2 linked regions of the Rattus norvegicus genome follow. The protein of the gene in region 1 interacts with the protein of each later gene in a biochemical or structural test. Links are inferred from orthologs where the notes say so. Each region holds a gene or a part of one and is shown on either strand. Other genes may lie near its edges.

Region 1 (3,046 bases):
CCAGCAGTGAGCCCTGCAAGAGGGCAAGGGGCCACAGCTCCTGCTTCTGGTTGCCTCTCTGCCTCACCGTGACAGCTATTGCCTACCAGAGAAACAAAGCCAGACAGCCCAGACCTGCAGCCCACTGCCTGGTACATGGGGCAGGCAGTCCTGCGACAAAAGCGAAGATCCCTTGAAACCTGGGCTCTTGGCCAGGGTGCTGGGTTCAGTTTCTTTAAGCTAAGACTGACAAGGCCATGTTGGCCACTGAGGACCTGCCTGCTACTGAGGCTCACGGTACAGAGGCCTGGCTGCCCCACATCCAGGGCAGAGGGTCTCCCAGTTAAAAGACTAGGTTTTGTAAATTTTTTTAACATGTAAACCTTTCAATGTTGATACACAAAATTAAATCTCCTGATAAAAAAGATGGCATGCTTGCTGGTGGAGAGGTTGGCCGACTTGAGATGTTGTCTCACTCCATGAGATATTGGCGAAAAGAAAGATGGGGCTGGAGCCAGGTATTCACAATAAAAGTTTATTCTTAACATAGCTAAAGCTTTGGAACAATAAAAAGAGAGGCCGCCGATTGCCACCTAGGAGGAGGATCTGAAGCAGCAGGAGAGAAAGCCATGTGCCTGGCTACACACATGGTTACCGGCTCTGCTCAACTGTAAAGACAAGAAAGTCGCAGTTAGGACAGCTAGAGGTTTGCTCCTGAAACCCAGCAACTCTTCCCAGAGTGGCCCCAGGCACTCACTGTATGTGGAGATATCTATTTCTTCTGGAAGCTCAGCCACATTCACTTCAAACCGGTCCTGAACGTCATTAAGGATTTTGGCATCATTCTCATCTGACACAAAAGTGACTGCCAGACCCTTGGTACCAAAGCGACCAGCACGAGCCACCTGCAGAGATGGTGTCAGAAGACAGGTACTCCTTAGGATCTGAGGAGGAGTGAGGGAGACCCTGAGCCCACACATGCTGGGAGGAAGCACTCACTCGGTGCAGGTAGGTATCCGAGTCCTCTGGCATGTCATAGTTGAAGACGATGTTGACTCTCTCAATGTCCATGCCTCTGCCAAACAGATTAGTAGCCACTAGGATGCGACGCTGGAAGTCCTTGAACTGCTGGTATCGGGACAGGCTAGAGTGGGAGACAAGCAGAGGTATTAAACCTGAGTCCTAGGTGTGAGTACCCGTGACCCCGAGTGGACATCAAGCACTCACCGCTCCTCCTGGGCCATGCCTCTGTGAATAGCGATAGCCGGAAAATTCTGTTCCACTAGGAGCTGGGCCAGGGCCATGCAGCGCTGCACAGACTTGACAAAGATCACCACCTGAAGAAGAATGGTAATGTTGTTTAGGCCAATGGATAATCACCCCCACAGGCCCGAATCGTGGGTGTAGTCAAGAAGCATCACCTGGTTAAACTCTAGCACGTCAAGGAGGTCGAAGAGTTTACGATTCTTCTCACTGTCCTTGAGTTTGACGTAATACTGCTGCAGCCCATGCAGTGTGAGCTTGGTCTCGTCGTCCACAAACACCTCCATAGGCTGTGTGGGAAGGGAAGCAGGAAGGGGCGAGTAGGGCTCACTTCTGGACGTCTCATGTGCCCGGCACCGTCCGGGGAGCAGCTCCTCTGTATTGATGATTCCCAGAGGGCCTGTTGCACCCAACCTCAGTAAACAATTCTCTCCCAAAAGCCGGATGTAAGCTCTGCCTCTGGCTCAGGTGTGGACCACTCAGCTCCCAGTTTGACAAACCAGGGGAAGGAAGGAGGCCAGCGAAGCCTCCTAGCATCCTCCAGGCCATGAGAGCAGTGTGCTTGTCGCAGAGTGGCCCAGCCCTCAGGGAAGGCCAAAGCTGCTGCGCTGAGGTGTTGGCCACGGTGGGCAGGCAGGCAGCCAGCTGGGGCGTCACCCTACTCACATCCTGCATGAACTTCCTGCAGACTGGCCGGATCTCCTTGCTCAGGGTGGCGCTGAACATCATACATTGCTTCTCATGGGGTGTCAGACGAAAGATCTCCTGTACATCCCGGCGCATGTCTGGAGGGGACGCCAACAAATAGCAAGCCTGAATGTCTTGTTTGACTGAGCAGACCCACACCAGAGAGGAACCAGCCCTTCCCAACCTGGGCCAGACAACATTGGCACCATAGCCGCGGTGGAGTGGGCCCAAGGGTGTCCCCACTGCCTGAGGGGCTGGGCTCGGATGGGCGGGAGCGCAGGCATGGGAGGAGCTGCGGTCCACTTACTCGCTGCCAGCATGGAGCGGCCCTGCCAGTGCGCCTTGAGCCACGCTTCAGGAAAGGGAGCCTGAGGCAGAGACAGCCACTGGCGTGAGAGCTGCAGCTTCTTCCCAGGACACATGCCCATCTCTCCCAGCCCCTAGTGGGTGGCAGAGGCCACTCTACTCCTCTAGATTCCCTGGATGTGCCTACATGTCCTAAAGGGATGGCAGCTCATGGGGCCTATGGTCCCAACCAACTTGGGTTCAGAAGCAGCACATACTCTGTTCCCTTAGGGTTCTCCTAGGAGCCTTGAGTTCTGGCCACCCATGTGACCCACTATGAGAGCCACTGCCTGCCCCATCAGGCCCCCTAGAAAATGGCTGTGACTCTGTGAGTGGGAAAGCAGCTGGTCAGGCCAGTAGGATGCTCACCCAGCTGTTCCAGCATCTTGTCACATTCATCTAGCACAAAGTGCTTCACATTCCTCAGGTTGAGGCTCCTGCTCCGCACGAGGGCCAGGATCCGGCCTGGTGTCCCCACCACAACATGGGGACAGTTCTTCTTTAACACATCTTCATCTTTCTTAATGGAGAGGCCTCCAAAGAACACAGATACCTATGGGGATAGAAAGAAAGCTGTTTCTACCCATCCTGAGGGAACCTGACACTCCAGCCCTACTCCCTCAGAACCCAGGGGAGACTGAAGAGCAGGTGCAAGGCTGAGGTATGTGGGACCAGCACAAGCCTGTGGGGGCTGGGCATAACTCATCAGGCTTATAAGGAACGTAAGTTACCACAAACCTCAAGATTGATGAATGCTGCTTGAGGCCAGTAT
Region 2 (3,821 bases), on another chromosome or scaffold:
GGTATTTATTAGTCCATTTCTACCATTATGACAGAACACCTCAGGTGTATGTACTTTATAGAAAGATTTATTTCCCAAATTTGGAAATGGAAAGTCCCATTAGCATAGTGTTACCCTATAAGAGATGACATAATGGTGGCATCAATTTTGAGGGGAGATTACATGGTAGGAACAAAAGCTAGAGGTTAGTGAGAGCTTAGGACAGAGTCTCATGGAATGAGTCTAGATTGTCTTTGTTGTTGTTGAATTCCTGGTCTTCTTACCTCCACTTCCCAAGTGCTGGGACTGCAGGCTCAAACCTGGCCACTATTACTCTTTTATATAGACTGATGTTTGGAGAATTAACCTAAATTAATTCCTTTCTAGAATTAGGCCTCCTTTGATGACCTAAATACTACTCAATAAGCTCCACTTTTGGGGGCGGGAGTAAGAGTGGGTTTTTCTGCTGGCCTTGAAGTTTTGACTCTTCTGCTTCCCCTCCCAGCTGGGAGGATTACTATCATGTGCCACTGTGTAAGGCTGCTCTACATTTTTAATAGTCCCAGAGCCAATACACTGAGGACCAAGCTTCGACACAAAAACTGGGCTTGGAGAATCTGGCTTTAGAACACTGGGTTTCTGACTAAAGATTGATTTTTATTTTTCCCCCTTTCTTAAGTTGTTGACAGTGTAATGTTTTAGAACTTGCCCCTTAGTTATTTAAAAAAAAAGTTGCACAAATAGATTACAGCTTTACTTAAGTGTGATGTTTTACAGCGTGTGTTAGAAAGCCCTGTGGTCTTGGTCAGGGATAGGCCTTGGATTTGGGAATTGACCATTGTCCTTGCTACCGCCATCTTCTCTTTTGTGAGAAAGAATGACCTCTTTATTCATAGGAATTAAAAAAGTTGTTTGTTTGTTTGTTTGTTTTCTCAGCTTGCTGAACTAAAGCAAGAATGCCTTGCTCGTGGTTTAGAGACCAAGGGAATAAAACAAGATCTTATCAATAGGCTCCAGGCATATCTTGAAGAACATGGTGAGTACTTTGTGGAGGGAACATGATGTGAGTGAAGCATTACATTAGGTTTCAAGCTCTTACACTTAAAAAGATTTCTTCCTCTCTCAGGTAATTGATGACATAAGGTTTAAATTAACAACATCAAGAAAACTTTTAGAGATGGCCACGGTGGCTCATGCCTCTAATCCTTGCACTTGGGAGGGAGAGGCTGAAGGATGGCTTCAAGTTCAAGGCCAGTCTGATTTACAAAGTAACAGTTTGTTTCAGACAAAAACCACCACCAACAAAGAGTAGGTTTGGGCCGAGCCAGATGCTGTAATACAAGCCTGTATTCAGTACCCAGTGGACCGAGGCCTGAGGATCAGGTGTTTGAAGCCTGCCTAGGCTAGAGATCTAGGTTAGCTAGAGCTGCAGAGTGGGATCCTGCCTCCAAAACACACAACTCTGTATGTGTCTCTGGGTGTAGTACATGTAGGTGTATTAAAAATTTTTTTAAAAGATGTACTTATTTATTTTATATATATAAGGTACCATGTGGTTGCTGGAAATTGAACTCAGGACCTCTGGAAGAGCCGCTAGTGCTCTTAACCACTGAGCCATCTCTCCAGCCCCGTATTGAAATATTTTCATTTGTTATATACTAAAGAGGTAGGATCTTGTCCCATTGCCTCCCTGGCTGTGAATCGTAGTATGTTATTTAAATATCAGGATGGAGGAGACTGGAGGATGACTCTGGTTTAGAGCATGTGCTGTTCTTGCAGAGGACCTGGGTTTAATTCCCAGTACATAGGGTGTCTCACAACTGTATGTAATTCCAGGGATCTGACGTTCTCATCTGGTACATAGGATGTATGTACGTACATAAAATGCAGGCAAAACTCAGTCCATATAAAATAAAATAATGAAATATTAAAAAATTTGCCAGTCCTGTAATCCCAGTTCTTTTGGAGGCTGAGGCCAAAGAATCAAAATTTGAGACCCAGTTGAGCAACTTGGTAAGACCATACCTTTAAAGAAAAAATTATAACACTGTTACTAGTTAAGAGTTTGAAGCCTTTAATTTTAATCTGTATTGTATAAACTTTCATTTAATATGTTTGGCGAGTCACTGTTAACATAGTTAAGTGTTATCAGAGACTAGTGTCTGGACCCTTGAAATCCTTAAACTGGGTGATCTTTGGTTACCCTTACACCTCATCTCCCCCAATCCTACCTTGAAAAAGAAATAGTGCCCCCTTAATACATATTATCATCCCAGCTAATATGTATCTTTCCAATTTTTATCATTCTCTTTTTCCCTATTCCTCATTTCCTTCCTTTAAATACTCTTCAGACCCCATTCTTAGGTATTTGCTGTATCCATAAAATATTTTTAGGGGCTAGAGAAGTGGCTCATTAGATCAGGGCATTTGTTGGACCTGGATTTAAATCCCAGCATCCATGCTAAAAGCTGGATGTGCTCTCACAAACCTGTGTGCGCTGTGGGTGGAGAAGCTGGGAGGGCTCCTTAGGCTGCTGCCTAAGGCTAGCTCCAGGTTCAGTGAGAGCTTGTTTCAAGGGTGTGAGATACCCATCTCAGAGGGGTAAGGTAGAGAGTGATGGGGCACGTTATGATCTTATGTTATCAAGCCTGGGAGCAAGAGTGTGAGCCATCTTACAAGCTACCACAGTTTATGGCCTTAACATTCCTTAACAGATTCCTCTATTGTATGAAGTATTACATATTATATATTAAAGTGTTGTTAGGATATATAATTCTCTTATAAACTACTTTTCTTTTTTATGTGCCTGAGAGATTATATAATATATGCCCAGATTAGTGTTGTAGTCATTGTATATTCACTAATGTGTAAATATTTAATATGATTTAGCTCACTGTCAAGTTGCTTCCTAGAATTGTCCTATAAATCTGAATTCTTCATTAGGACATCAGGGTTCTTTTAAAACATACAACTATTTATTTTTAAAAGATTTTATTTGGGGCTAGAGAGTTAGTTCAGTGATTAAGAGCAAGTAGCTGCTTTTGTAGAGCACCCTAGTTCCCCATTCTTACATGGCCGCTTAAAACCATTTATAACTACAGTCCTGGGGGATATGACGCCCTCTTCTTGTCCCTGAAGAGCACTGCATTCATGTGCACAGATACATGCAGGCAAAACACCTAGATACATTTTTAAAAAAAGAATAATTACAAAATTATTATATTTTTATTTTATTTGTGGGTGTATGCCTTGTGTGTTAAGAGGCCAGAAGAGAGTGTTAGATGTCCTGGAACCAGAGTTAGGGTGTGTGGGTGTGAATAATGGTGTGGGTGCTGGAACCAAGCCCATATCCTCGATAGTACCCAGCCACTAAGCTGCCTCTCCAGCCCACACAGGGCTCTCTTTGTCTCTACAATCCTAGACTTGGCATTCTCCTATCAAGTGCCTACTGTTGCTGATTTGTTGTTGGTTTTAATATACTATAATTCCATCCTGAAGAAAATTTAGATGCTGTCTGTGTTCTGAGTTCAGTGGGTTTCTTCTTTGTCCACAAGTGCTAGAAATGCAGGCATTGGTAATGCCTGGCTACCTTGTTGTTTTTAAACACAGATATCTTTGTCATTGGTCTTTAAAGTATACATATACATATGTTATACACACACACACATACACACACACATACGTATATATGGGGTGTGTTTGTGTGTGTGTGTGTGAGTTGTATGAGTGTTCTGTCTTCAGACACACCAGAAGAGGGAATCAGATTCCATTACAGGTGGGTGTGAGCCACCATGTAGTTTCTGGGAATTGAACCCACGACCCACTGGAAGTGTAGTCAATGC

What was found.
Region 2: the proteins of Ddx39a (region 1) and Sarnp form a complex in vitro, tested with the Homo sapiens proteins (2 studies listed by BioGRID). The link is inferred for Rattus norvegicus from reciprocal best matches to the Homo sapiens genes DDX39A and SARNP.

Annotation. Positions count from the first base shown.
Region 1 is NC_086037.1:41,322,965-41,326,010, forward strand, and holds the end of Ddx39a (ATP-dependent RNA helicase DDX39A), read right to left. Parts: exon of another isoform or gene 2,828-3,046; coding exon 2,644-2,827; exon of another isoform or gene 2,298-2,643; coding exon of another isoform or gene 2,237-2,297; exon of another isoform or gene 2,028-2,236; coding exon 1,909-2,027; exon of another isoform or gene 1,533-1,908; coding exon 1,401-1,532; exon of another isoform or gene 1,317-1,400; coding exon 1,207-1,316; exon of another isoform or gene 1,124-1,206; coding exon 979-1,123; exon of another isoform or gene 885-978; coding exon 737-884; exon of another isoform or gene 648-736; coding exon 631-647; 3' UTR 501-630; downstream 1-500. UniProt on the Homo sapiens protein: Helicase that plays an essential role in mRNA export and is involved in multiple steps in RNA metabolism including alternative splicing. Regulates nuclear mRNA export to the cytoplasm through association with ECD.
Region 2 is NC_086025.1:1,845,323-1,849,143, forward strand, and holds part of Sarnp (SAP domain-containing ribonucleoprotein), read left to right. Parts: intron 1-915; coding exon 916-1,015; intron 1,016-3,821. UniProt on the Homo sapiens protein: Binds both single-stranded and double-stranded DNA with higher affinity for the single-stranded form. Specifically binds to scaffold/matrix attachment region DNA. Also binds single-stranded RNA. Enhances RNA unwinding activity of DDX39A.